4 linked regions of the Drosophila melanogaster genome follow. The protein of the gene in region 3 interacts with the protein of the main gene of each other region in a pairwise test. Each region holds a gene or a part of one and is shown on either strand. Other genes may lie near its edges. The genes, in order: Rif1, CG14183, CG1635 and dah.

Evidence for each region.
Region 1: the proteins of CG1635 (region 3) and Rif1 interact in a two-hybrid assay, tested with the Drosophila melanogaster proteins (one large-scale study listed by BioGRID).
Region 2: the proteins of CG1635 (region 3) and CG14183 interact in a two-hybrid assay, tested with the Drosophila melanogaster proteins (one large-scale study listed by BioGRID).
Region 4: the proteins of CG1635 (region 3) and dah interact in a two-hybrid assay, tested with the Drosophila melanogaster proteins (one large-scale study listed by BioGRID).

The regions. Positions count from the first base shown.
Region 1 is NT_033778.4:15,862,986-15,872,340, forward strand, and holds Rif1 (Rap1 interacting factor 1), read right to left. Parts: upstream 6,163-9,355; 5' UTR 6,022-6,162; coding exon 5,920-6,021; intron 5,835-5,919; coding exon 3,353-5,834; intron 3,292-3,352; coding exon 3,005-3,291; intron 2,917-3,004; coding exon 1,537-2,916; 3' UTR 1,324-1,536; downstream 1-1,323. UniProt on the Drosophila melanogaster protein: Regulates the timing of initiation of DNA replication. Functions in copy number control by promoting the underreplication of DNA, which is found in many late replicating euchromatic regions of salivary gland polytene chromosomes.
Region 2 is NT_037436.4:20,023,004-20,030,496, forward strand, and holds CG14183 (uncharacterized protein), read right to left. Parts: upstream 4,833-7,493; 5' UTR 4,759-4,832; coding exon 4,023-4,758; intron 3,969-4,022; coding exon 3,644-3,968; intron 3,587-3,643; coding exon 3,297-3,586; intron 3,235-3,296; coding exon 3,078-3,234; intron 3,030-3,077; coding exon 2,766-3,029; intron 2,695-2,765; coding exon 2,537-2,694; intron 2,453-2,536; coding exon 1,869-2,452; intron 1,808-1,868; coding exon 1,703-1,807; 3' UTR 1,684-1,702; downstream 1-1,683. Other genes in the region: kug (kugelei), read left to right, coding at 1-45, 108-389, 448-636, 950-979, 1,153-1,284, 1,346-1,482; Lamtor1 (late endosomal/lysosomal adaptor, MAPK and MTOR activator 1), read right to left, coding at 4,964-5,056, 5,112-5,182, 5,242-5,375, 5,643-5,806, 5,869-5,949.
Region 3 is NT_033777.3:31,585,588-31,591,933, forward strand, and holds CG1635 (uncharacterized protein), read left to right. Parts: upstream 1-3,085; 5' UTR 3,086-3,165; coding exon 3,166-3,272; intron 3,273-3,332; coding exon 3,333-3,403; exon of another isoform or gene 3,404-3,456; coding exon 3,457-3,699; exon of another isoform or gene 3,700-3,758; coding exon 3,759-4,684; 3' UTR 4,685-4,805; downstream 4,806-6,346. Other genes in the region: rod (rough deal), read left to right, coding at 1-10, 69-438, 496-760, 831-1,656, 1,716-2,349, 2,410-2,520; CG1638 (uncharacterized protein), read left to right, coding at 5,031-5,149, 5,206-5,258, 5,312-5,554, 5,615-6,346.
Region 4 is NC_004354.4:15,325,455-15,332,686, reverse strand, and holds dah (discontinuous actin hexagon), read right to left. Parts: upstream 4,346-7,232; 5' UTR 4,244-4,345; coding exon 4,015-4,243; intron 3,952-4,014; coding exon 3,735-3,951; intron 3,678-3,734; coding exon 2,820-3,677; intron 2,756-2,819; coding exon 2,638-2,755; intron 2,576-2,637; coding exon 2,416-2,575; intron 2,354-2,415; coding exon 1,986-2,353; 3' UTR 1,685-1,985; downstream 1-1,684. Other genes in the region: CG9114 (uncharacterized protein), read left to right, coding at 1-1,143, 1,200-1,660; Top1 (topoisomerase 1), read right to left, coding at 6,769-6,871, 6,949-7,100, 7,162-7,232.

The sequences.
Region 1 (9,355 bases), on a different chromosome or scaffold from region 3:
TATGGATACGACCGGTCCATGGGGCGTATGAATATGTAGTATCTTTGTTGCGAGGGGAGGGTTAGACACATTTGACTGTGCTCTCGATCGGCTGACTGGCTGGCCGATTCCGCAGACAGAGAGCAGACGGAGCAGAAGACTTAAGTACGGACGGACTGCGTCATCGTACACGAGATGGCCTGGGTTAGGTAGGTCAGTTTCACTTGCGCAATTGGGCAAGAACTTTCCATCGCTATTTATATATATGGGCGGCCAGATCCGCCGATTTGGCGATCGGGATCCTACGAACAGCAGTGCTAAGTACAGACCTACAAACGACCTTGGCATTCCCAAATTAAAACGTCTGGCTAATTGTGCCGAAAGCGCACTTATCACGCCGCCTGTAACTGATACAAAGTATCCAACGTCTTTGTTGGAGCACCGACGGAGCACCTAACACGCATCCGTGGCGTGTAGAGCGCTCCGCCCACGTTGGAACATAATATTATATTGTAGTATTTGCACAAATGCCAGCGAAAGACGTCGCCGTAGACGTATTCCTACACACATGTATGCCATATAGTGTAGTGTATATATTTTAAAGATCGTCGGCGTCGCCAGTCGACGTATCTCTATCTGCCGATGTCGGCGACGACGCGTTGTTTGCTAGCACGTGAACATTATCAATGGATGCGGCGGACATGGCGGGGTAATTTGACTTTGCCGCGACCAGAACAACAAATCAACCAGATAGGGTTGGGCCGGCACCAGTGGAGGTTTCTACGTGGAGCTTGCCCTCCACTGAAGGTGCCACTACCTGACCCCCAAAAGTATCCAGCATAATCACAAGCACCTAAAAAGCGCAACTCTAAGACTTTGGAATGCCCTACACCTATTCAGCACCACTTTATCACTCAGAATAGTCGTTTCAATTCCATCATGATTACCTGACAATATTTGATCAATGTACCATTGAACTCGCTGAATAGCTAACACGAAGTTAACACAAATCATACTAATTATTTATCTGCCTGATGGGAAACGTATCTGTCACGTCACTTTTGACGTACTGATAAGATTTCCCTAGATTATATGGCAATCGATTACGATTTTAGGTAACATTGTCTGCAGTGTGGACTTTTGAGTATATGAACTCCCAGAGTTAAATACACTAATTTTAATTCGAAAACAAGTTAAAATAATTGTCTGGGTTTTCTTATCAAATTCGTTCCTTTTGCTGTTTTCCTTTATCTATAGGAATTATGATCGATGTACTTAAAAATAAATAAGTTCTCCCACCAATATATATATATTATCTAATATATTGATGACTTTCTACTTTTTATAATAATAAAATATTAAATTTATTGTAAGAATATGAAGCAAGTTTTTGCAGCAAAACATAATACACCAACGGGCATAATATAAATCTTAAACATAATGCAATTTAAACTTAACTATCTAGAACCAACTAGTTACAATCGAACTTCCCATACTTAATCGAGTTCAATGGCCAAGTGCTTAATATTTCATTCGTAATTTCAAGTCAGGTCCAATCTATAAGTTTGATGAGGAGTCGGCCGCGGTCTCGGCCACGTTGTCAGGGCTTCCAACGGCGGATACGACGCCCTTGGAGATGTGAGTGGAGGTGCTGTTGTTCCGCTCCCGACGCGTACGCATCAGAAGGTCAATGAGATCGAGGAGCAGGTCGTCACCGGGGCTGCACTGCACCATCAGTTGTTGTACGAAGGCCAGGCGCTCAGAATCGGAACGTGGGCCGCTTTTCAGAATTTCGGGTACCTGGGCCAGCAGCCCGTTGCGGCAACTTGCGCTGATCTTGGACTTGGCGCATACGTACTCCAGCACAGAGGTCGGGTTCAGGCGGTCGCACACCACCGACGACAGATTCTCGCGCACAGCGTGGTCCAGGAAATCCTTGGAGTGGTTCTCCGACAGAGTCTCTAGCACGTTGGTCTTAAGTTTTTCGTTTGCCGTCATTTGGGCGGACAGAAACTTAGCCAACATGCCGGCGCTCTTCAGCGGACTCTTGTCAAAGTAGCGCTGCAAAACCGACTCCAGCGGTAATTGCGCCACCGCCAGATCAAGAGCGGCTTCTGGATCCATGATGGCTAGATCCTGGCCGGCTGTCTCGAGTTCAGACTCCACTTCCATCGCCTTGACGGGTTCTTCGGATATGCTAATGTTGTGCGCGTTGCCTGTGTCGTTCCACTTTAAGCTGGTGAAAGCATCCTCCTCGGGTGCTTCGCCAGTGGATTTGTCCAGGCTCTTGTCCGTCGTCGCTGTTCTGGCCGTCTGTTCGCTAGCGAAACGCTCTATTTCGATTATGCTGTCTAACCGACCACGTCTCCTCAACGCCTGGCGCATCTCGGTGGTCTGGGCCACCTTGTCCATAAGCAGACAGCGTTTGGGCTTCAAACTGCTGCGCGTCTCCTCAGCATCGCGTAGATACTCCTTGGTGACGGACACCGGTGGGTCGTGGAAACTAACTCGCTTACGCTTTAGAGCCGGCGAGTCCAGAGTAACATCATCGAGACTTTCGCATCGTAGCTTGCGCTTCAAGATGCTTACGGAGGGACTGGCCGATGGGGATGGCAGTCGTTTGGAAAACACCAATAGATCCTTCGAGGGAGGTGCCTGAATCGGTGTGGAAGTGTGATCCGTGCCCGTCAGCTCGTTTAGCTCGCTGGTGGGAGTGGACACCTGCTCGGCGCGATCCTGGGCACGGGCCGGCGTCACTTGGTGAACCAGGCGCGAAGTAGACATGCACGCATACGGCGAGCCGGAAGCAGCGTCCAGCTTCTTGTTGCGAATCATATTGATCAACTGAGCACCGCGTCCAGTCAGATGTCCCGTGGGCTTGGGCCGCAATGTTGGACTCGAGGAGTTGTTTGTCTGCTTGCGATCAGGTGGAGAGCTCTGCGAAAAGAAGGCGGAAATTAAAAAAGTTCATAAAAACATTGTAATAAAGTAACCGTTTTAACCAAGTCTAATGCGATTTACTTACCAAATTGTATATTCGCGTGCCTGATTTCTTTGGAGACATCTCACCGGCAGCCACAGCCCCCGCAGAAGCGGCAGGATCTCCGCTGCTTCCAGGCAGTTGGGTAGAGGGTACAGCTTCCAAGGGTACATCAGGCGGGGTCAGTTGTGTTGTTTCTGGAACAGGGTCGGGTTTCTTAACCGGTTCTGGCTGAGGCTCTGGCTCAGCTGCGACTTCCGGGAAAAGATCCTCGCTCTGCGCGATTACCACAACGGGGGTGGGTTTTGCAACCTTTGCCTGCTTAACGGCAGCTGCAAAAATTCAAGTGTTGGGATTAACATCCTTAGCTCACCTGTTACTTGTTTCACGTACCTGCTGTAGATTGAACGACCGGGGACGGTGGCAATTTCTTTGGCGATCTGAGCTGTGGTTCAAACGCTGGCTGTGGCTGAGCCACCTGTTCCGTTTCTTTTTGAGCCGCCCGTGTTCGCGTCTGACGCTTTGGCGGCTCCTCGGCAAGAGAAGCAGCCCTGGCAGCGGCCTCGAGTTCTTTTTGAGCTTGGGACTTACGCCCCGGTTTCTTTCGGATGGGTGTAACTACGTCAACTCTCACTGGTTCCTTCTCAGACTCCTCGCTGGCCGTTATATCGATCACCTCGCCGTTGTCATCCTTGCCGGTTAAGGCCAGCTCACCCTGTTTGCTCTTTGCAATAACCACCTTCTTAGGGGTCCAGGGCTTAATGGAAGCCGAGTCCTGAGACTGCGACATATCATTGTACAGAGCTGGAATGTCCGACTTTTCAGCGAAGCGCTCCTTTTGACGATCCGTCAGCTTCTCTGGATTCAGACTCCACACTGATGGGATGATCACGAAGAGATCATCTGCCTTAAAGAGTTCTTTGAGCTGATTGGCCATCGTCTTCATGGGTAGCTTGCGAAACTTTTCTTGAATTCCCCGCTTCCACTCCTCCAAGAATCCGCCTTCGCACTTCATCTTATTCCAGCACTGGATGCCAGAAGACAATGTTGGTTTCAATGAATCGAACACTACCATTAGTTCGTTTTGCCGCAACTCCACCACCAGGTTGCGGAGGGTGTTTAAACAGGCTTCGAGCGTTTTCTGGGAGGAGGGCTGCTCGAAAATGGTTTGAAGTAGCCCAAAAACGTCCTTATACAAAGGTGCCTCCTTACAGAGTCCAAACTTGATTAAGGAGGTCACATAAGCATCGAAGAGCTCTGCAAAGAGCGGTTCATCCTTGCTCTTTAGGAGGTCTGTAAGTGTGGCTTTCAGGTCCGTCAAGAACTTCTTCCTCCCCGGCGCGTTTTGGCCTGCGTTTACCAGTTGGCGCCATTGATCGCAAAAAGAGGCATCGAAGGAGTTGCTAGCACGCCGTCCCGCAAAGGCAGCCAGTGTCTGAAGTGGCCATAAAAGCCAAGTGTCCAAAAGGGAAGCGTTGTGTGCCACACGGTATTCAAGCGCATTGTTTCGCAGATAGTTGGACAACGCCTGCGACACCTGTCGCCACACCTGCAGCTTGAATGCGAATCCCTCAAAGTCCTCTTCGTCGTTGGCCTGCATCAGAAGCTCAGCGAAGGAGCCCAGCATCCGGAACTCGTTCTGATTGTTCGCCTCGATACGATCGACTGCGAAAATGCATGCGATACTTCGCTGCAGAATTGCTGCCGGAACTTCTGTCTTGGATTTCAGTACAAGTTTCAAGTAGGCCTCCAGAACATCAAGATGGTCGCTTCCAGACACACGCTCCATTACCAAGTTATCTGCGGCTATGGTATTGAAAAGAGCGCGTACAACTCGGCCACCGGAGTTATCTTCAGCCTGCAGGATTTTCTCGATTTCACTGCAGCACGCCACATTGAAGGGAGCAACTGCCAACCGAAACATGGCAAGGCACAGATTCCGCACGAGCAACTGCAGCAGGAGTTGTTCCGCTTCTGTGGCATCGTTCTCGGTAAGCAACTTTAAACCGGAAACGGCAGCGGCCAAAAGAGGTTTCCAATGCTGTTGGAATACCTCTACGCTCATCAGAGGCGAGGGCTGGACCAAGGTCTCCAAGCGTAGCTCTCTCATTAGACGCTGCAACGGTTCACTGGACTCCACGCCCCAAAGGGCCACAAGGCAGGGCAGGGCCAACTCCCGAGCCGTCTGGTAGTTGTGCGCCAGACCCGTAGCCAGATTTCGTGGACCTCCGCCTAGCATAAAAGCCAAAAAGTGCTCCACGGCGCTGTCAAAAGACTTGGGTAACTCGTGGTCCAGGCAGCTGAGCAGATACCACCACACTCGCAACTTGATGCCACTCACGTGCGAGGATCGCGATTGTGAAGTGCGCAGGGGGATCAGCAGCAAACGAAGCCTCTTCGCGGATGTCAGTTCGTCGTAGGCGGCAAAGATCTTGATGAGCACGCGCCAGCAAAGAAATGCCTCCGACCGCACACCATTATCCGGGTTGCGGAAGCCCAATTCAACCAGAGCCAAGAATTTGTTGATATATACACAGCCCCTGAGCAAATCCTCGTCCATGATTTGTACCAGCAGCGTCCATATTTTGTGCCAGTTGGAGTTCTTAGCATCGCGCATCTCCCCGATGATGATGGTGTATTTGTCGACAAATTCACTGCGGATCTGAGGCCAGCACTTGGCCGAGTGGATAACGGACACGTCAAGAGCCACCAGTGCCTCCGCAAGAGCTGCCACGGCACAGTCCTGGATCTTTCGGTCCGCATCGAACATAAGCGGCAGGATATCTCCCAGCCAGAACTCCACCAGTTCGTCATCCGTAAAGGAAGTGGCTATCAAACCGGAGCTTTTGCAGCTGCTGGCCAACAAGTCGATCATCTGGTGGTGCACATGGAAATATAGGTGGGGGGCCGGAGCTATAGTGAGATACATACTTGGCGCTGCAATTGGGTGCCCTACTTACGTTGCAATAATGCTGACGGCGGCCAGCAGCGAGCACTTCTTTCGCGGAAAGCTGCACCGTGCGGTAGGACTGCCCCGCCTGCGCGCCGAAGTCTACATCCATGGCTCGTACGCTGGATGATACGCTTATTTAATTATATTATTTTCTTCCGCCTGCGAACGCCACAAGTTATTTTCCCGCAGTTTTAAAGACTGTCGAAGAAAAAAGCGCGCGAATTGCTATGGCTAGAGGTGGCAAAAGCAGGTCGATATGTCATCGACAAGTTATCGCCGACAGTATGAAAATACCAAAATTGTGAAACTCAGAGTTGCCAGACTTGTGCAACGCCGGAAGTTAAAAATAATTTAAATTTAAAATCCTAGCAACATCACAAAGGACTACCGTTATTATTATTTTAGCTTTTACTCGTTTATTGCTTTTTACTCGATATTGTAGAGCTCAAGAACCGCCGTCCTCAACTGATTTCCGTAAAATAACTTTGTAACTGGCGGGACTCAATTGGATTTTTAAACATTTTAAACTCCCCAATTACAAGCTAAAAAGTATTTAAAACGTGGAATTGCAAATCATACAGAATCTGCACCTTTTATGGATCGACATAGTTGCAAAACACAAACTCGTTTAATTTTAAACATTTTTCTTTGTCAATTTTATTAGGAAATAATTGTTACACACAGAAATGAATATTATAATTGTCATTTCCCCCATTATTGCTCGGGACACGTTCTCTTCCTAATTAATTAGCTGAACACAATTTTGCGGCTGTGAACCGTCGAAAGCTTCGCCGGAAAAAGGTTAAATAAAAAACTGATAATTAAACTTGGTTTAGCAACAGCTATTACACATAATATATATATATATATTTGTCAATAGGTTATACATAAGGTATGCGTTTAATTGGTGCGCATAGTTATACTTGAATAATTAATAAAAATAATACACGTATTAAATATATATAAAAGACAACTAAAATGACCAAAAGGGGCTATTACACATGTATCGTATATGCATATATAATATATATGAATATAAATAGTGAAAAATAGTCAAAAACATTTTACATATACATATAGGGTCATACATACATACAGCATACATATAAGTATATATAGATTAGTATAAATTATTATTATTATGTAGATTTCTTTAAATGCGATTCGATTTTGTTTCGATTTTTAGGTCTAACTTAGGTCGGTAATTGTTAATTGTTAGAGATTTACATGCGACTACCCAGCTTAGATGTTGTTATCCGATTTATGTTTAGGTTTATGTTTCCTCAATTAGTTTAGATTAATTGTAATATTAGTTACGCTTCGATTTGCACACATTTAGTTTAATTAGGACTAATTCTAGGAAAACACTTGCAACAATTTGTTGGAAATTCGTTACACGTTTGGGGCCTTTGTTTCGTTACGATTCAATTCGATTCTTTGTGGTTTATTGGTTTGTTTCTCGATCCTTTCCGGTTCTATCAAAATACTTTATCCTTTGAGCAACTTAGACTAAAGAAGGTTTTCGTTATGCACTTATTATCGTTTACTCGTTTCTTTGAGACAACTGAACGGAGCGTTTAAAACGACCGTTGCAGGTTTTTGTATTTTGTAATGCGTGCGCTTCTGTGCGATTTTACTGTGTTTTGTTTTGTTTAGAACTTTAGTTTAGTTTATCATTATTTATCGTTTGTCATTCGACATTCGTCTGGTTACCATCTCCCAACAACTGTTTCGTTTTCTATCTACAAAAGGAATCTGTTCTACGTTCAATTTCCGAGCTCCTCGACTGGTTCCTCTGGCGGATGACGGATGGTGGGGGGATGGAGGGAATGTATTTGCTGCGGGACTCATGCTGGGCGGGTTGGGCGTTGAGTTCAGTTCAGTTCGAGGGGGCGTGGCACATGCAATGACTTGCTTAAAGCTTGTATACGCTGATGTGATTGAGAATGTCCTACATGGGAGGGGAAAATAGGGCACACAACGTGCGAAAGAAGGAACGGGGAAGAAGTGACGTGGGTCAGCTAATTTCCGGCGGAGTGTGGCAGGGGCTACAGTTGCGTCTCACATAAATACATAGATATCCGGATCGATCGATCGCCGTATTATGGTTCTGTTATTATGTACATCGCCTGGGTAGCTTGCACTAGTAAATTGATATATGCGAATATATAGAATACATGTGTAGCAAGGAAGTGTCCGCATTTGCGAGCACAATGTCGAAGGATAAGATAGATATATAAATGTATATATAAATATATATAAGGAAGCGGAAGGGGACGAAAGCAAATCGATGCCGCTGTGTTACATAGATTATGCGATTAATATATGGCATATGGCATATGGTACGAGTACGAGTATATATTCGAGTATATGAGTGCTAGTAGTAGAAGAAGGACCTTGCATCCCGAAGGCAGCTAGCCAGCCTCCATAGACTGCATGATGATCATGACGATGCAGGAAACGGGGATTGGGTGGGGGGATGTGGGGCATTCGACACCGAAAATCGAATCCCCCTTGTTGTACTACCAGTGCATCATGCGCAGCTGATCGAGGATGCGTTGCTTGAAGAAGGTGCCCAGCATGCCGAAGACCGTCGACACGGCGGCCACGCCCATCATGACCTGCATGATGCAATGGATGCCAGACAGTTCCTCCTCCGACTGTTGCCGATGACGATGTCGCGCCCTATGGTGGCGCCGACCACCATTCTCCTGCAGCCGCTGTAGACGCTCCAAGTCCTCGTCAAACTGTGGCACAATGGCCAGATTGATGACTTCCGTCTTGGAGAGCAGCTGCTCGTTGGCTATGGTGTGTGCCTCGGTGGCTCCCTTGCTGGTGGCCTCGTTGTGCTCCTTGTCCCGCTCCCGCTGCTTTTCCAACTCACGCACCCGCGACCGCTCGTCCAGCATCGTGTTGTCACGGCTGAAGTCAAAGTCGTGGGTGCTGGGGATCAGCGGCGTCTGGAGCGTCCTTCCGGATGTCGGGAACTCAGCCAGGTTCACCTTGGCTAGGAACTGATGTCCGGAAGCGGGACTACGGGACGTGGCCTCCGGCAGTGGAGGCGGAGGCTGTTGCGTGGGCAATTGGTCACGCACCCGGGTCTCCTGGAACTGGTTCTTCTTGATGCCCAGAACCTCGGACAGTGGCCTGTTGATCATCGGCAGAAGCGAGTCGGAGGTGGGCCGAATTATAAATGACCCTCCTGGCTGGACGTTATCTGGAGGCTCCAAAATCTCTGGCTGCAGTGGCTTGGGCGTGGAGGCCACTGGTGAGGACTTTCCAGCACTAGTTTCACCTTTACTGTCCTCGGTATCCTCGCTGTCCGTGTAGACAGAGTCCTCCGCCGAGGAGGAATCTTCGGTTTTAGGCTTTGACTCCTTGGCCGGCTGTCCCGAAAACTTGTGCGTCAGGTTGCGTATGGGCTCGTACTTGGAGCTCTCCGA
Region 2 (7,493 bases), on a different chromosome or scaffold from region 3:
AGCAAATGCATTTAAGAACCTTCAGTGAAAATAAACTGAACAATGGTAAGTCAATGCCTCTTAGTGTCAGATAGCAAAAGCAAATATTAACCTGCTCTTTATTTCAGAACTTAAACGGGATTTCGGACCATCTGTGAGTCGCTTTTCAACTGGGAAACTAATCCAAGTTGAAATGCCCAACGTGTGCCACTCTTCCAGTGCGAATTTCGTTGATTATTCAGCTCTTGCCAATGGTCAGTATCATTGGGACTGTTCCGACTGGGTTCGCAAAAGCCATAATCCCTTGCCAGATATAACCGAAGTTCCTGGAGCAGAAATAGCTGATTCGTCGAGCTTACACAGCAACGATAGCAACGAGTCCAAGTCGAAGAAAGCCTTTTTCGTGCACAGTAAGTATAGAATTTAAAACTCGTTTCCCGGACCAATAACTGATTTCACCACCAAAAGGGGAAGACGGAGATGTTGATCCGACGAGGGATATAGCCGCGTTGAATGAGGATATCGGATCGGAGTATTTGGACTCGGAGGCAGAGAGCTGCTTGGAGCCGTTTATGTTGCCAAGATCAAGTAATCAGCCACTTTCAAGACTGAGTTCTTTTAATAATATCGAGAATGAAGACTATAAATCAAATACAGGTAAAACCCTTCGTTAAAATGTTAAATGCATCTAATAAAATACAAAAAAAAAAAAAAAAAAAAAAAAAAAGGAATTGATTATTATCACTAAACGTTTTCATGTTTATGTTCATAACAAGCTGATTTATCTTATTGGCTGTTACAAAATCGCAGTTCATTTTTCATTTTATAATTTCAACAATTTATTTAATACATATTGCACACAATATCTAACTCTTTCCTCTTATAAGTAATTTTGTTATTCCTTTAAACTTTCTAACAAATAACATCTTTGTATACTAACCTATTAAACTACTTCATTTCATGCAATCAGTGCCTTTACCGTCGAAAGTTAGTCATTCGTGTAAGTTTTGTATTCATTATAAGTAATAGTCCAATGGTTATTTATAAATTTAGGTCAATGCTTTTTTTATACTGAACCTGTATTAAATTAAAAATATTTGTTACTGCATATTAACCACATAAAATGTTACAAGAATCTTACTTCAAAATGTCCATATCTGATCTATTCCACAGGCAAAGTATATTTAAGACATCCTGATTCGTATTTACCGACGATGCATTTTCCAAGTGAGACCGATGGGGAAAGCTCTATGACCGAGGGGCCGATTTCTAGGATGGAAATAAAAACCAGGAGGACGATAAGTGGTAAGCAAGGGAAATGCCTTTACATATCTTACAAATATCACGATTCTCTCTAATTATGCAGAAAATTCAGAGGAGGCATACCTATTTCCATGCACTGTCGGAGAAATTGGATCCAACAGCAACATTTCGGTTCGACTGTGTGAAATTGAAGATTCTGAGTTGGAGGAGTTTTTACCACAACAACAAACAAACAATTAAATGACATGCTTAATATATAAGAACTACATTTTACACAAATTATTTCATTTCGTTAGATACTATTTTCCATAGGAAAACTTTGGTTATATATTTTCAATAAAAAAGACACAAAGAACATCTGCACTTCCATAGTATCATTAGTTTAAGGCCAAGGTAAGTTTACACTTACAAATAGTTATATATGAAAATGCATATTTAAATAAGTTTTAAACTGATTTATTTATTTCTTTTTGCTTGCCTTCGCCAACTTTTGAGCCATATACGATTTTCTCAGCTTTTCCAGCTTGTTTGAGCTGCCGAACCATTTATTGAACTTATCCATTATCTAAAAAGAATTTCAGTTAAATGACTTAGTTGCTAAACATGTATTAAGTAAGCAAGTATACCTTCTCATCTGGAGGGAAAATGGGAGGCTCATTCTTGCTCAGGAAATATTCAAGGAACTCGTTCGGATCCAATGCCTCATTCTTGAGTCGCATCTTACGGTCGATGTTCAAGGTCTCCTTAACGTTATCATCAATGTCGCCGGAGTTGTACGCCTGAAGGACGCGTGCCAGTGCCGAGTAGGCGTACTCCTTCATGTCATCTGGCGCGTTCTCGGTCATCAGTTCCAGCCACAGCAGGAAGCTAGTGCCGTAATCGCACTTCGGAATAAGCAGTACTTTTTGGAACGCTCGCTTGATGCCTCCATTGGCCGCCCAGGGCATGTTACTCGTGCCGACTAGTACAATTTTGTCATTTTTCTTCAGTGGTTTCAAGATCTTGCTAGCTAACGAGGTGCCCAGCAGTCTGGGGTTAATCTCCACTGCCTCAGGCGGAACCTTTTTCCAAAATAGTCTATGCGCTTCCTCGATGTACATTATGGTGGGCTGAAAAGCCTTAGCCACTTTTAGAATAACATGCAGGAAGTACTTCAAGTCTTTGGCATATTTGTAGGTATTCTCGGGACTTAGGTTCATAAAAACTGCATCTGGAGTAGACAGAAGGTTTAAGTGCTCCGACAAAAAAAAAAAAAAAAAAAAAAAGAACAATTCCCAACAAAATGTTACTATACCTAGTTCGGATGCAATGATTTCACACAGCAATCGTTTTCCGCTATTCAGAGGTCCAATTAGCAAAAGAGACTTCGGCTTCGGAACATCGAATTCGCCCATTCCCAGCATCGACTCTTGGATAACCATTTTAATGTCACCCTTTGCTGGGCCCAATGTGCTGAATTTTAAATCGATATTAATTTTTTTTGTTAGGCTTAGTAGCTCTTTCAACAAATAACTACAACATACGTTAAGCCATCTTCATCTCGAGTGTCGTCTGCCACAAAGTTGAAGTCCGTTATGAACTCATCAAAGTCCCTATGACCAATTTCCTCTATTATGCCGGCATCTTTGAGCTCATTGTACAGGGATTCCAGTGTCCGATCGCCTGTCATGTCCTTGGGCTTCTTCTTCCTCTTCTCCTTCTTCTTCTTAGGATACTTCACCTTGAGAGCCTTGTACTTCTCATCGTTATCCTTCGCCAAGGCCTCCCGCAGCAACTCATACTCAACCCTGGAAGTTGAAAAGTTATATTTTCATTGTAAATATAAATAAATTTACCTCATGTATTCGTCGACCAAGCCCCTCACTTCCTGATGAATCTTTGCCAGTTGCTCCTCAGTAACCCATTCCTTGATGGGATCATGATTCTTGTTTAGATATTCATCGACATTTCTCCAGTCCTTGGAGTACTTCTTCATTGTTTCTTCAATGTTTTCTAAAATTGAAGAGAGTATTTGGAGACAATGGAAACATTCTCCATTAAGTCAAACTATCTACCAATTGCCTTGCTTGCAGTTAGCTCGTAGCCAATATCGATGACTCCAGCGTCTCTCAATTTCTTCCGACGTTTAGCTTCCTTCATTTTCAGTTGTTTTAGCTTTTCCTTCTTTTTCCTTTTCTCTTTCTTCTCCTTATCGCGAAGTTTCTTCAACTCGGCTTTTGACAGCGGCTTTTTACCAAGGCTTTCCTGAAATTCCATTGGCGTCATTGTTTCATCAATGACAACCAGTACCGTTCCTTGTTTTACAGGATCGGGATAAGGATGAAAATTCCCAGTCGCGTCGTAGCTGTTAAGTACGAGTTATACGTTTTTGCCTTTTTTGCCTCAATGAAAAACAACTCACAATTCCTTGAACCATGCCCGGATATGATCGGATATATCTTCCATCATCCATGGACTTCGGAATTGCAGCAATCGGGTGCGCTCATCGTTGATCAAGTTGATGAAGTCCTCATCCAGCTTCTTCTTGAGCATCTCGTTCTTGTACATTTCCATAATAGAATTTGCCGTCTGATTGGGTCGCTTCAGTTTCCTAATTTTCTTCATACCATACAATTCCTCCTTGAACCGCTTCCTAATCTTAACTATTTTCCGCGTCTTGTAACCACGCCAACAACTTTGGATTTTACAAGCAGCATTGTTCTGTATTGCACTTAAGGCTTCCTCATCTAGAAAATAATTAAAAACCAAATTAATTGTTTTGAAACGATCTAGCTACTTGCCATCTATTGCGGTATCCGCTACATCATCCTTTTTGATAAGATTTTCGCAGGACTCGTCCGCCTTCAAGAAGTCAGCTGAAAAAATGGTTCTCTTCACGGGAATACTCATTGCCTGATCAGGCTTAAAGGTGAATTTGTAATTTATTTTCTTTCTTTGATGGACCTTGAGGAACTTTTTCTTGTCGTACTTTATGTTGGACTTGTAAACCCGAGCTCGGCGCGCCCTCTCGTGAGCTTGGATAAGCTTGACCGCCTCACTGATCGGAACCCAATCCTGGGCTGCCTTTTCTTCCTTTTCCTCATCGTTCATGTACAATCGGTTGTCGGCAATGATATTTTGAATGTCCAACGGGCGACGGTAAAGGAATTGTGGTGACCTCCATACGACCAGGTCCCGTGGTGTTAGCTTCCTAGCGATCAGCGCCTTATCTATGTAAATGTATTCGCTCATTTCCAAGTCTTTTAACTCCTCCTTGAGTTGCATTAGCTGCTGAGTGGCATTCTCCACCAAAACACGTACCAATGCCCGCTTTTGCACTTGGAAAGTATTGTGGTATATGAAACTTAACTTATTGACCAGCTCCACATACAAAACATAGAGCTCTGCGTAAATTTTATACGATACTGCCTTTTCCTCTGGCGGCTCAATCTTCTTCAGGCGGTTCTGCTTCTTGATTAATTTACCAATTTCCTTGCGCGTGTAGACCCAAAATTTATGGTTAAGATCGAACGACATTTTGGATTTTAGCTATATGTGTGTGTGTGTGCCTTCCTAAATAAAAAAAATGTCTTGCCGTGTTAAGAATATAGTATGTATTTATTTGCTTCTGTACACTTAATGAAAATAAGTCGATTACCTGGTTATTCAAGGGCTACTTAGTACCAATATAGATTTTGATTTTATATAAATTTATCACTTTATTTCACTTAAGATACGATAATCAGGGAATCCGGAAGGGAACAACCACGGCCTCTTTGTGGTCGATCTGTATGTGCGAGACACTGATGTGTGCCTTCTCGGTGAAGAGCTTCATCTAAAAACATACGAAATTGGTAAGCAACAAGCAATTTGCGAAAAGTAAAACTCACTTGAGCAGTGTCATCTGGATAGGTTGGCTTAGACAGATAGAACTGATGGCTTGGTACATCTTTAAGGAGACCTGTTGTTCATTTAATTGTTAGTCATCATTCACCCTTTCAATCTAGCTATATTGCAAACCTTTTGGTGCGATACTGGCGTGCTGGCCGTTGTTCCACTGTTGATGCAACCGCTGCGAGTACAATCTTATTCTATCGGCGTACTCCTGGTGCTCCAGGCTGTGACAGTCCATGGCTCCAACGTTTATCATGTTTCTGGAGAGCAAAGTAGCGTATAAGCGAATACAAATATAATATAGATAAGCGATAATTAGGGCTGTGTTGCTTTGTTGCATTGAACATCCCGATAAATGCTTGGGTATAACCATACTACATACTAGATCCTGCCATCGCTATAACTACGTAGGTATACTACTATAGTATAGTATAGTATAGCAATCGCTGTAAAATGCTAGCATTCCAATCAATGGAATTGTATATGATAGTGCCAAATGTGGACCCTATACACTATCAACTACGTACATCGCAGTATTCTGCACCAGTCTGGAGAGGGCGTTCTGATCGTCCTTCTTGGGAAGGGAGTGGGCGTAGTCGGTGCTGAGGCCATCGGAGTTGCTCCGTCGAAGGGCAGGACTATGGTTCACCGGGTCCACGAGAAGGTGTGTCCGCTCGTTCGGCTCGTTGGGCTGCAGATGGAACGCATTGTGTATTCGGTCTGTTGACGGGGAAAGGGGAATGTGCGGATTACCTGCGCACCTGGATCTTCGGTGCATTGCCAGCAGTTGCAGATCGAGGCTAGGTAGCTCCAAACAGAGTGCACATACTCCATTCTAAATGCAATTGTTCAATTGTTCTTTATTTTTTATGCAAGTTTTTCTAGGGATGGAATTGTACATATTCGATAAGATCAGTGCTACCAGACAGTTTAAAACAGCTGTATACATACTTGTTATCGATTAGGCGCTAAATATTACAATTTTAATCGGACATTAAATTCATGGGTTTTCATAAGGGAATACTAGTTTATTACTTACTGTTCCTAGCGTTATCCTTGTTTTATTTATTATGAAATACTTTTTATTGGGAATTAAGTTGATTTAAATTTATACTTTATTAATTTGTTATATTTTTATTGGAAATCGGCAATAATTGTGAAGATATTAAAAAATTTAACTGCTTTTGGTAGACATCAATTATTAATTTGAAATATTTATATTGCTGTTTTTTCTATCAACCTATATGACATTTTCCCCAACAGCCAGCCCACGAGAACGAGCACATTCTTGATTGATGAAGATGCCAAAATTTCAGCCAACGGAAGTTGCTTATCTCGTCGCTTCCTTCGTGCCAATCAAATGAATTGGGCCGCACATTTTTAATTGTGTCGCTCGAGCAGTAAGGACAAAGGATGCGGAGTACGCCAGCTACTCGCAAGGAACGGAGAACGCCCTTAAATCAACGACGCGGTTAACCATGATGGCGAAAGCGGCGAGGCGGAAACGCAAATTCATTGCCGAGGCTGCATGACATGGGGGCATGTGTGGCAGTGCTGACAGCTTTTGCTATCCTTTCCACAAGAAGAACCTCTGAAAAATGTAAAACCATAATAACATAATGTGTAATATTGGGGTTTCTGAATGGGCTGATGTTCTTCGAATATCTTACGTAGAGTGAAAAAGTTCAAGATTCATAAGAATTTAAAACTTAATATGGCCGTTAAAAAACAGTTTTTCTCTCCAATACGGTCTAATTTATTGAGTTTTCCCTTCAGTTTGTTCTTCTGTTTCCGCCGCCTAAGTGAATTTATTGTCTCCTCCTGGCAGCACTGATGTGGGCCTCGTCATCGCATCCTGATCCTTTGCGCCACCTCCAGACCCGGCACCATGCCCATATATTGAGCCAGACGCACACTCACACTTGCTGGCAACTTGTAACTTCGTTTTGCCCCGCTTTTGTTTCCGTTCCCTGGCAGCGGAAGCCGGGCTAGAAATTTCATAACTGCCACAAGGAGCAGCTTCACTTCAAATTCAATTATCCTGCGCCTGCACACGGCCCCAAAGGATATCGATCAGTACATCTAAGGAGGTGCATATGTCTGCGGCTTGCCGACCGGGAATAGGCATCTTACATCGTCATTTTGCGATACGCCATCTAAGGGATTTCCTTCGAGGATGTTGGGTTTTATCTAGACAGCTCATTAGCTGAGTAAGTCCATTGTTTTTAGATTTATGATGATATACTAACCAGCCAGGAAAACAAATATTATATACAAATTATGCATTATACATAAAATTTTTTTAATAAATTATATTTATTTTTTATGCTAAGAGCATTTAGCATTTCACTTGTGAGGAAACACTATATTCAGTATTT
Region 3 (6,346 bases):
TACGCACCAAGTAAGTGAAGTATTACATTAAAAGTCTAGATGTTAAACTTCGTTTTATTGGTTTGCAGGAGATTGAAACTCTTCTATTACCTGGAGTTTTGCCAACAGGATCATAGAATAAAGGGCAAGTTCAATGCCGACATGGACAACATAGAGGACCTGCTTAAGGAGTTTCACAATAAGCAACTTGACGTTCAGCTTTTGGAACGCATGAGCAAGGACTTTGGGTTCGACTACCAAAAGATTCTTATTACCCAGATACTAAGCATATTGAGCGCCCAGGAGTTGCGCTTCGAGGTGAAGAGGGATACCTTCGGCGACGAGGAACTGGTTATGCTAAGCAGCGCCCAGGAAATGCGCGATATGTGCCAACCGTACATTAATGAAATCAATAATGTCGAGCTCTTTACTTCCAAGTTAAAACACTTTATTGAAGACGTAAGCTCACTGATGCCACAAATAATCTTTTTTTTAATATCTTTGCAAATCGTTTAGATCAACATTTACTTCTACGAGTTGTACATGTGTGTGATCAACATCCTAATGTACTTCGATTCGGCTCCGAAGGAAATGGAAATCTGGATGAACATTTTGCACTTCCTGAGACACAAGATGATCACCAGAAGACGCAATCGGCCAGGTCAGGTGGAAACCGACACGTGGCTGAAATCACAAAGGGAAAATGGCGTTATGCCGAAGATATCTCGATATCGTCTGCCTTTTAAGCCCATCGTAGAGCAACCTCTTAAGGATATTCTTGGTATATTCAACTGAAATAGTTTAATGCTTAATGCTTCTGTTTAATTATAGTTTCCGCTTCTTCTATTCAGACAGCGAACTAAACGTGGACAACTGCCAAAGCTGGTTTCCACTGATTCAGATGTACACGGCTTTGAAGGGATCCAAGGATAGTTCCCAGAACTGTGACTACTTCTGCATGTCAGCAGTAAAGAATTCGATATCGGAGTACAAGTCGAAAAATGATTCGGAATCATGGAGTCTTCATCCCACGAATAATGCCTTCCTGCAGTCAATACTACGACTGGTCGAGAAGGTGAACAACCCAAACAAGGCATTTCTAATACTGTACTTCGTGTCCAACTATGCTCGTGATGGAGCCGATCAGGTGGAGGCCTCCTACGAGTGCTGGAAGTTTGTCAAGGAGAAGGGCCACCTGATTACAGATCCAAAGAGTCGCGAGCAGGTTGCCAAGGTGAAGCGACGGTATCCTATTCAGAAGACCCAGCACCTGCTGTATGTCTATGGCCTGACCGATGAGAAGCTACTGCGCCAAGTTGAGAACCCCACCGAGCTTATTCAGGCGCTCTACCACCATGAGCTGATCCTCAAGTCCAGCAAAGTGGATATTAACGCTCTGGTCGCAGAGATAGCCAAGCTGCACGACCTCTGCTTAGCCACCATCCAGTACCGCCTGCTACAGAAGTGGCTCGCTCTGACTATGGAGTCTGCGGGTGATGGTACCATTTTGGAGGAGACCTTCATGGAGGAGCAGAACTGGCCGGAGCAGGCCAACGGCGCAGAGTCCTCCAACAGCCAGGACGCCAGCGAGAACGTAAATAGAGCGTTTTACATACTTTCCAGTTGGCCAAAGGCGGAGGCAGTCAAGTTCCTTGTGGGTCTGATCTTCAAGGGCGGGTAAGGATTGGTACTTAAAAGTTAGCGAAAATAATTCATTGAATAAACCCTTCCACCAGTTCGGTAAACACCTCCACACAGCTGCAAATGTACGAGTGCTATTCCAAGCTAAACGATGGCAGCAACTCCTTTACCAACACGATTAGCCAACGCCAGTTCATCAGCATCAAGTGTGTGCACGAGCTCAAGGCTCTGGGCTACAAGTCGAACCTGGAGAAGTTCTCCGACGACCATTGCAACAAGATTGACATTCTGAAGATGATCTGGCAGCGTAATGCGCAGAATCCCCTTTCGCTGGAAGTCATGGCCAACATTTGCCTGGGCTTTGATATACACTTGCCGCAGATCTGGAACGGCATTCTGAAGCGCATGGTCATGTTCCATATGGTGCGCGAGCTGAACGCCTTGTTGGATGTACTCAGCTGCCGGCCGCATCTACTTCACCTGGATGGACTGGCCCAGGCCTGGGACTATGTGCTCTGCCATCCTCTGCAGAACGCAGTCGAGCTACGATCCTTTAAGCAGGAAGAGGTGCTCCACAAGACGCTGCTGCGCCTGCAGGGCTGTCCGGTGGTGCACGCCCTCAACCTGCTACAGTTCGCCCAGCTCTGCATCGTCGTCCATCGACCGCACATGGCCGCCTCTCTACTCAGCTTCTGCCAGAGCAGCGAGCAACGCCAAAAGATCAAAAAGGTATGCTCGAACCGCGCACTTTAACGAAATGCTCTATTGTCACTCTAACTCTTCTTGCAGATGATACATTCCCATCCGGTGGAGAACCTTCGGCAACAGATCTTGGATCTGGAAGATGCTGGTATTTTGCCGGTGGTGCTGAACTTTGCGCTCAAGGAACTAAATCTGTAAGCGTAGAGATTTGGATTTTACTATTCCCATAATTTTTTGTTTTATTGGTCGAATATCTGCGTTAAGTGCGTTCGGGTCAAGATACTTTTGTAAATATCAAGGTTTTATACCTGCAAATATAGTTTATACAAACGATGACTATTTTCTATTTTAATTTTAATATGTTATTTTATATACAGTAGCAATTAGTCAATATTCAAACAGTACAATCTCTTAATTTCATAATTTATGCATCACAAAACAATGTGTTAATTTGAGAAATTGTCTAGGGAACTTCGCTTCCCAGTTTAAAATTAACAACAATCGGGATGACGTCATACGTATGTATCACTTCTGTAAACAGTGGGCTCAAGTTGATGGAATACTGAAAATAATGAGATATATTAGGATTTTTTTTAAATGAAGACTTTGTTGTGTAAAGAACAGTCAGTCTCAAATCAATTTAATTAAAGTAAATGGGAAAAAATTAATATACTAAAGAATCGAACTTTTCGAAATTAGTTGGAGACGAATTTTCTCGAGCCCACTGTACCAGTCAGCTGTGGCCGCCAGCTGTTTTCTATTTGGGGTTAGATCAAAGACAGGTTACACTTTGTATGTAACTTGAAAAGCAAGGAGAAAGCTGCGAAACTAAGTTAAACCGAGATGATGCGTTCTTTGATAGGAGCACAAAAGTGCTGGGGCCTGATCCGCACCAGGAACTTTATGGAATTACCCACCAAACAGGTGCCAGCATCCTTCGCATTGTTCAAGTAAGAGCAAAAAATAAATGATGAGCTTACATGGTAAATGAGTACTTTCATCTCTAACAGGCGTCACTACTCACCGCCCACGCATATCAAGCAATCAGCGGTCGCCAATGAATCCGGAACCATGGCGGAGGGTAAGTGTTGTCTTGCCAGAGTCAAACCCATCGTAATCCCCGAACGTCTGCAGTCAAGCAGGGGATGATGAAGCGATTGGGGCTGGAGCCCGGTTACAACCCGCTGCCCAAATCCAGGGAGCAGCTGCTCAAGTACCAGCCGAAGCTGGAGGATCTGCCTCCAAGAGCTATGCAGGATTCCTTCACCTCGGCCATCATTCCTCTGAGCACGGACCGCAGTTTGCAGGACAAATATGTGACCTATCTGGGCAATGTGCGATTCGGGCGACTTCTGGAGGACATGGACTTGTTTGCTGGTATGAGGAACACATTTGCTGGAATCTTGGCGCACTTTCTCACTATCCGCTATTTCCAGCTTGGTGCTGTCATAAACACCTGGTTCTGCCCAATCTGCCGGAGGGAGTTCATCTGCCGTACACCTTTGTGACCATTCTGGTGGACCGCATCGATTTCACCAATGTCTTGGCTTCAGGCACCCAAGATATCCGTTTGTCTGGGCACGTTTCCTGGGTGGGAACCAGTTCAATTGAGGTGGTAGTGTGGCTGGAACAGATGGTTGGCGGGAGGTACCAAAAGTTAACCCGTGCCTTGTTCCTGATGGCAGCAAGAAACGCTAACAATACCGGAGCGGCTCCTGTGAACCCCTTACAGCCGGCCAACGAGGAAGAGAAAGTGATTCTGGCTGGCGGCGCAGATAGAAAGAAGAAACGTCAGATTCTCTGTGCTCAGTCCATCTTTAAGGTGGAACCCAATGACCCGGAGCAGACAATTATGTACGAGCTGTACAAAAGGACAACTCCCACCAACACTTTGGAACTCAACAAGCGCATCCTGCCACCAAACTGTCGCTGGATGGAGGACTCTTTCCAGATGAGCACTATTCCCTCATTTCCGGAGCACAGGAACCACCACAACCGGGTCTTCGGAGGCTTCCTCATGCGAAGTGCCCTGGAGATAAGCTGGGCAGCAGCCTACCTCTACTGCAAAACGCGACCCAAGCTGGAGCACATATCCGACATCAGCTTCGAGAAGCCCGTCAGCGTGAACAGCTTCATCAAGATGACCGCCTATGTGGTGTACACCAAGGAGAACTACGTGCAGATCATGACCGTTGCAGATGTGATGGACCCACAAACGGGCAGCCAGGTGACCACCAACACGTTCTACTACACCTTCTCGTCTCCGGACACGGTTACCGAGGTGCTGCCCCGCTCCTACCACGAAACCATGTGGTACATCCAAGGTCGTCGAAAGTTCGAGGCCAGCATGGGCCCAGTGTAGACATGGTTCAGCCTGTGATTGTTACTCAAGATATTATGCAAGGCTATCCTACCAGATAAATGCAATTACCAGTTCAGTGTTTACAAAAAGCAATAAATGTCTGTTGTTTAATGATGTGCTTAACCAACCAGCTTAAAACTTTTAAAATCTTCTATTAAACCCTATCGAAGAGTACTAGATTAAATGTTTATTAATATAATAACTGTCAAAATAATCCCTAATTTTTGCCGACTTTACATTTTTTGGATACCCATTACCTGTAATCAAAAAAGCAGAGCTGAAGCAAAATTTATAGTTTTAATTTCGTGTCGGATCTGAGTTCAGATCTCGATCCCGATCCGTTTCCATGGGGCCTGGTCTTAGAAATGTTAAATTATGTGTTGTACCTTTTTTGCTCGGAGCCCGCAGCTGCCGGAGCTTGTTAAAGGCCAGGACCCTCAGGAAGATGACACATAAAAATTCCAGGTGAAGCACCAACACAACTAGCAGAAATCAGATTTTATAGGCCACATTTCTTCTAGCTCTAATGGGCGTAACTCCTCTGCGGACGGTCAATACGCCACTATGACGGAGAGTAAGTACTTCCATTCCAGAAATAGGTGCTACTTGTCCAGATATCCCTTTTAGTCAAGAAGAAGATGCTGAAAAGCTTCGGCCTGGAGCCTGGGTTCACCACGGAGCCGAAGTCCAGGGAGGATCTACTCAAGTACCAACCCAAGTTTGAGGACTTACCTGCGCGATCTATGCAGGACTCGTTTTGTTCGGCCATCATTCCTCTGAGCACGAATGCAGTTCTGCAGGACAAGTATATCAACTTTAGAGGCTTCGCGCGCCTTGGCAGGCTTCTGGAGGACATGGACATCTTCGCCGGTACCATCTAGTTTGGCCAAAGCCATGTTGTTGAATAATTGTCTGCTTAATTCTTCGTAGCTTGGTGCTGTAATAGGCACCTGAAAGTGCCCAATCTGCCAGAGGGAGTACCCTTGCCGTACTCCCTCGTGACGGTCCTGGTGGACCGGATCGACTTCACCAGTGTCTCACCCCAGGGCACCCAAGACATCCGTCTGTCTGGCCACGTGTCCTGGGTGGGAACCAGTTCCATGGAGGTGGTGGTATGGCTGGAGCAGATTGTCAATGAGGAGTATCAGAAAATCACGCGAGCTCTGTTTCTGATGGCGGCGAGAAATGCCACCAACACAGCTGCGGCTCCAGTGAATCCCATTCAGCCTGCCAACGAGGAGGAGAAGCGCATCCTAGCTGGCGGGACCGACAGGAAGAAGCAACGACAGCTACTCATCGCTCAGTCCGTCTTCAAGGTGGAACCCAACGCCGAGGAACAATCTCTCATCTACAAACTCTACAAAAGGACTACTCCCAACGAGCAAACCGGTCCGCGCCGCCTCCTGCCTCCCAACTGCATTTGGATGCACGACTCCTTCCAGATGAGCACTATTCCCTCATTCCCGGAGCACAGGAACCAAAACAACACTGTCTTCGGGGGATTCCTCATGCGCAGTGCCCTGGAAATTAGCTGGGCAACAGCGTTCCTCTACTGCAAGGCCAGACCCACGCTGGAGCACATATCGGACATTAGCTTCCAGAAGCCGGTCAGCGTGAACAGCTTTATCAAGATGACCGCGTATGTGGTGTACACCCAGGAGA
Region 4 (7,232 bases), on a different chromosome or scaffold from region 3:
AACCCACTGACGAAAAGGTGGACTGGAGCATGCTGGATCCGCCGGAGGATTTGCCCCTCAAATTTGGAAAGTTTGTGTGGCAACGGGAGGGCATCTACCTGTTAATTCAGTGCTGGAAGCATCTCGTCGTCCTAAAGAGGCCCAAGGATCACGGGGCCAACTTCGAACTGGTGGCGGATCACAAGGATGTGGTGGACTACCAGATGGTCGAAGGTCCCATTTCCTTCCAGGCCGTTGTGGAACTGGAGTTCGGCAATGGCAAGCGTCAGCGTTGTGATTTCCAGGAGGATTTCTTAAATGAGGAGCCCAGCACGTCCAAAAATGCGGGCTTGCCCGCGAAGGATTTCGAGAACCTGCTGCAGGAGGTGCACCGCGCCCAAGCCGAGCTCGACAGCCAGCGAATGCAAAACCAGAAGGAATTAGCCCACGTCCAAGACCTTCTATACTTCGGCACGCCGGGCCAGCGTTCGCTGCTCCTTGAGGAGAAGCAGCCGCTCCGACGACTCGGCGATGTATGGACTCGGATCTGCGGCGATTATTTTGTTTGTGGCACTCTGCTAGTCAACATAACTGGCACCAATCGCCTCACCATAGTCAAGGAGTTGTATCCGATTGTTGTAATCGAACCACACACCGACTTTAGCGTGGAGCACCGCCTGTACGAGCTGCCTCTGCAGGCGGATGGCCAACCACCCGAGGACTACGACCAGCTGGCGCAGTTTTGGGCCTGCCAGGATCAGCATAGCAGGCGTCTCAAATGGCGACCGGTGGAGAAGGAAAGAATACTACCGCCGGAACGATCTGCCGCGATGGTAGTGAGCCTGCGTCTGGTCGATCTTCTTGAGGCAGAGAAACTCATATTGATGGCAACGTACGAGATGGGCGAGGATGCATCCCCTAGGCAAATCCATCTCATTACCTTCGATGTGAAGAAACTGCTCGATAAAACAGAATCGTTGGCACCCACATTTTCGCCCGCCACGCTGCACCAAGACTTTTTGGCCGTTATTATGACGCACACGGCACGTTGCTCCCTGAAATTGGAGTTCCAGTCGGCCCAGGATTGCACGACATTCGAGCAGCTACTCGTCTCCACGCTGCAGTTTCAGTTGATCCAAGCCCAGGAAGCAAACAAGGAGCCGAGTGAGTAGCTTTGTCAAGACCACTTGTTGTCCCTTTTAACTCATAATCCCTTACAGCTTCCGACTTGCTGGACGACAGTGAGCCTGGGTCTCACTTTCAGTCTTCCAACATCGCCGCCGATCCTGTCCAGCGTATTTTCTACAATCGCCAGCCGCAGTCACAGTGGTGTGACACCTTGCTGCTTCGCGACGATCCCGGAAAGCATTGGCATGTGTACGCCAGAACGGACGATCGATTGCGTCTGCTACTGCATCGCCTGACGCGCGATCTCCTCCAGCTGCACTGCAACCTCAATGTGCTAGAGGTCGCTGAGCACAACATGTCGCCTGCCGACATGGAGATGGAGTTGCTAAACAGTCTGTTCGAGGAGATGGACGCCTGGAAGGTTTTGAGTGAGCCGGCAGCCAGTGTGGAGCAGCGCCGGGAGCAGCTGACGCAGCTCCACAAGGCACAAATGGCCAGCGATGTGTTGGCTTCTATGCTATTCACCGATGATGATGATGACAATGGGGCGTAAATGCGTTTTTTTTTTCTTCTCTTTGCATTGGAAAATCTACAAAGTTGATATTTTGTATGTAAATGCTTTGTTAACAATGTGTTTTTTGCATTGTATATTTTTATAAAAACATTTTGTTGTATTGCATTCTTGTCAGAGTTGTAAGTTTACAAATTAAAGCATTTACGCGAATGTTAAAGCACATGGGAAAAGGAAGAAGGATATAATAAATGCATGACTCGGTTGTGTCATTTTGTCACGATTACTTTAGAACAACTTTACAACTTAAAGCTAAGTGGACTTGGTCTGGCTGGAATCGATGGGAGTTGGTATCCGATCCGGATCCTCACGTGCTGATGCGCCGCTGCTGCTCCTCGCTCTTGATGATGCTATCGAGAACGTTCTCCAGATTTTGCGTGGCCGCCGACAGTTCGGCATTATCGCTGTACGAGTCCTCGACGATCTCCTTGACCTTGTGCAGCAGCAGCTTAAAGTTCACCATCTCGGTGTCGCGGCCATCTCCGCCGTTTGCCGGCTGCTGTTCCAGTAGAGCACCCAGCGGCATGGGCAGCGGCAGAGGAGCCGGCAGGGAACCAGGTCCTTGTCCTGGCTGGACACTCGAGCGACGCTGGTCGAACCACAAGCTTATGTCGTTGAGCGAGTAATCCGATTTGTTTGCCTCCAGATAGCTGCGATTCAAGTCGGCGCCATTTACTACAAGAAACGATTAACTTAGTGGAGCTGTCTCATGGCTCTGTTGAAGGTTCTCTTCTTACTGGAGTGCGTGAGATTGGCACCCACGGGCGCATACATGTCGAATAGCATCTGTCGCTGAGGCGTGCTGGAGCTAAGGAACGTGGAGCTGACTAGGGGCGCAGCTGAAGGCGCCACTTGGGCAGCTGGCGCAGGTGGCGGCGAAGTTACCGCTGAGGCATGCTGCAAGTGTATATAAATGGAGTTAGCTCAGCTTAAATGGGCCGAATGTTTGGAAAACTCACTGATAGCTGTCGCATATCCTCGATAATCTGCAGCAGAAAGCACTGATGGGCGCTCAGAAACTGCGATATTTCCGAACTAGATGCGGTGGCCACTGTTTGCAGCTGGGTTTCCAGCTTCCTGAAATGCAAGAGAACCTTAAGGCTTGGCTAACAAGTGTGGCGAAAGAAGGGAAAACACCCACGCATTTTGCAAAAGCAATCGATCGATGATGGACTGCAGCCTGCTGGACGCCTCGCTGGCTAGACCCGTCAGGGAGCAGAGCTCCTGCTGCTGTTGCTGCAGGACAACTGTGCGGTCCTTCTCCTGGCACTGACTGCGCACACTGCGCGTCTCTGCGGGAATGGGCGTGGCAGCGGATTGACCCAAGGCGGGCCCACTCTCCTGCGCATTACAGAAGCCGCGACGCTCCTCCTCCTGTGTTTTGCGCGGCATCACCAGCCAGCCGCACAGCCTGGCCAGGTGGCGGGTCCAACGCAATGGCGGCTGATCCTCCACGAAGACCTCGCACATCCGATGACCCGGCTCGTGGCGACCACCAGCGAAGCCCACTGCAAAGCAGGGCAGGCACAACGATATATCCCTACACACCTGACACCGGAAACGTATGCCCACAATGTGCTCCTTGCGGCAGCCGGCACAAGAATTACTGTGAATCAAATGCTCGGTGTCCTCGATGCGTTTCACCAGTGCCAGCAGATTGCCATAGATCAGGAATCTCGTCTGGACACCCGCTCCCGTCCAGAGTTTGTGGAACTGCGGCTCGGTCAGTCCACCAACGCCATGCGGACAGCGGGCAAAGCACTGCTCCATAGCCAACGGAAGATTGTGGACGCCATAGGCCTTGGCCTCGCCCAAATAGCTGAGTAACTTGCTCAGCGTGGCTAGGAGCTGTTCGAATGCATATCTGGAGATGATCTGCGACTTGGGATCGGCCAGCAGGCCAAAGATGTCGCCCACCAGGTGATCGCTGCTATATAGCTTGCACAGCAGTATGAAGGTGATCCTGATCTCTAACAGGGATATGGAGTGTCTGCGTTGCCTAGCGAAACCAATCAAATATCAGACATATTCTTAAGATGCCAGAAACTCAACCCACGGATCGTAGACATTCCAGAAGAAGTTGGCCAACAGCCCGGTTGCCCTGTCCAGTTTATAGTTCGCATCCTGGTTGAAATGGCCTAGTTTCTCGCAGGCAAAGTATACATCGTGCAGCAGGGAGGTCAACTGGAATGGAGGAACCATCAGTTCCAGGCCACCACTCAAGTTATGGCGATCCAAAATGGCCAAAACCAGCTTGTAGGGGATTTTTCCAGCTGCAATTTGAAGGTTAATCCTTGGGGACTCCTTCGAATGGACCACCTACGCGACTGACTCACTGTGAAATATCTTTTGCAGCGCCACAAATTTACTGGCGCACCGGTATACCGTGTACTTGTAATTCCCGTAATCCCGCTGCAAGTCATCCATGATGGTGGATAGCTCTTTGTCCACCTGTTGCTTTTGTCCTTGGCCACCTTGGGATCCCTTTTCGCGGGCAATGGACGCCACGGCCTCGGCGCTATTTCGCAGTTTTGTCAGCTGCACGGGCACCGACGATCTCAGCATTTTGTCAGGCGTTTATTGTTATATATTTCCCTTGATTCTCGAATTAATTTCAGTCTCTTTTAAACGCGTCGTTTCTCGCGATCTCTTCCTCTTCCGTTAGCGCAAAAGTCAAATTGTGTGGCGTGAGGTGGCAACGCCGCGCGTGTTATCGATATCACTTCGCCGAACCGTTAGCGCTTTAAATTTGATTCAAAATTATTATTATCATTAATTAAGTCATCCGTTCGTTCTAAGAATATTTGACCATGATATAATAATTGGTAAATAAGTTTGAGCAACGGGAAATGTAAACTGAACAACTTGGGTTCACCATAGTATTTTCCCAATTTCAAAAACAAAACAAAGTTATTTAAAAACCCTTCTTTTGAATGCGAATAATTACCCAAAACGAGGAAATGGAAAGAGTGTCACATAGATTTTAAAATTAAATATATATTTTATGTATATTTGCATCATTCCATTGCAATTACATTCACTTATGCTATTTTGTTTTTCATTTACTTTGCTTTCGATTTAAAATAGTGGGTTTCTTATCATTTCGCTTGTTGTTTTTTGTTTGCTTATATCAATATTATAATATGCCAAGTTTATATGTGAGTGTTGTGGCGGGGCGGGGCGGGGCTGGGCGTTCGAAGAAGGGTTCGTAATTAGTTTATTTAACTTTTTTTTTTGCCTTTTAAAAGCATTCTCCCGCTTCCGTATGCGAATCCACGACAAACGCACACAGATGTTTGCGTTCACATTATATCAATCACTAATTATAATATGTGTTTGGGCGTGTGTGTGTGTGTGTTTATATGTATGTATATAAAGATCGTTCGCTCTTCATTTGCAATGCGCGTTTGCCATTTATGCTAGGGGGGGCGTGAGGCGAGATATAAATTTCCATCGATTTGCTTAGTTAAAAGTACGGCCATAATCGTAGCTGATGGGATTGGGGCACATGGATGTTGGGGATGTTCCTAACTCCACCTGAATCCACTGCTCTCGTCGACTGAAGGATTCAAGTGAAGGCTCGATTTTTACAAGGTTTAAGGTATAGTTTTAGCTCACTTAATTGCACATACTTCTATAGATTCTATATGTATAAAGTTCCTTTCTTTCAGATTAAAGTTCTTTCTTTCGCTGCGACTGGTTTGCTGGCTGTGTTTCTGTTTTGGTTCATCGAGTTATTTGAATTGCTCGTTTGATTTGTATCTGCAATTGGTTTTCAGTGTGATGGCGGCTTGGTTTGCGGTTGAGAACTTGAAACCTGTCTGCTTAGAGTATAGAAAGTTAAGGGTCTGTCTGCAAATCAATTTAGCATTTGTATATTTCGAAATGTTAACTAAAATGATCATAAGGTACGAAATCAAAGCGAAACCACATCGAGATCCATCCAATGTGGCTTTGTTCTTCATTTTCGGGGGCGGTCGGTCGACAAATAGCGCTGCTTCAGAGTTGAATTGAATAAATTATGCTATGCTAAAAGTTGGGCTACAAGGTTTCTCTGTTCAGTTTGCACTTATACAAATTATTATTATTATTATGATAGATAGAATAGTTTACAAAACTAGACTAACTTAGATAGTATAGCATTAGCTACGGGGCTTACAGCTATATTTATTTACAATGTTATTATATCTTAATTTAGTTAATATCTAATTTGGTAACTAATTGCTGGCTTGTTATGTACAAATGCCTGTTTTTGTTTTTGTTTTTTGTTTTCGCTAAACAAAATCAACTATAGGTAAACATAAAAAAAATTGCGTTTTAAATTGTATAATTTTCGTTTGCTTTTGCTATTAAATATATATATATATATATAGATATATATATACATCTATATTTTTATATATATATATATATCTATATATATATATTTATGTAAATGTATGTATTATATTAAAAATAAAAATATATACACAAATATTATTATATACATAAATATAAATATATATATGTATATATGTTTTATATGTAAAATTATGAAGTATAAGGGTATCTTGACAAAAAAGTTCTTTTGTAGAGACATAGAAAATTATGCTCCTGATTTGTTTTTAGGTGGCGGCGACGTCTTGCCCAGGTTTCACATCTCCTCTTGCCTTTAATGAATAAAACTGACATATATTGGATTAGCTTGTGTTTGGGTGTGCACATTTCGCAAGTTAGACTTCGGCGTAGTATGCACTTGATCCCATTAATCCCATTCAAAGCAGACAAAACGGACGCGTACAAGCGGTTCCACGACTACGATGTAGTGCAGCATTCCGTCCCGCTCATTTTGGCTAACAATCCCCCATTGCGTTGGCCGAAAGCTGGACATATGCACTATCAATTGCATAAACTGTGGACCAAACAATGGCGGGATTGGCATGGAATCTATTTATAAACCGGCCTTGTGGTGGGTGTGGTTTGTTGTTACATCTTCTTCGATCGGGTGCGAGTGTGTGTTTGTGTGTGTGTCTGAAGGGGTGGTGGTGGGTGGAGGAAGGGTCGGCGTACTTGTGTGTTTGTGTCTAGGCGTGGCTGTGAGGAGAACCCATTTAGAAACGATAATTCTCATCGGCCATATGAACGGCCCACAGAAATTTGGTTCTTTGCGTTTTGTTGAATATCTTCTCAATCGGCACGTCATGCTTTTTACACCTGCAAATGGATGATATATATATATATATTAGTTCTCGTTGAGTGGAATGTGCTGCTTGAAGGGAGAGACCACTCACCAAGCCACCGATATGCGTGGATCAAGATAGTTTAGCTTAGATGTGCCCAGGGCAATGGTCTTATTCTCGTCTCTATCAGTCTCTTGTAGTTCTAGTTTCTTCAGCTGATCCCTTAGGCGCTCCAGCTGTTTGCCCTTCTTCTCGTCTCTCGACTGCATTGGTTTATAACAATTAAACATACTGCTAGCGGAAGAACCTCTCGAATATACTTACATGATACTCGGACTCGCATTTTTCGATGGCTTCCCGCTTGGCCTTGATCTTCTCCTTCAGATTCTCCATTG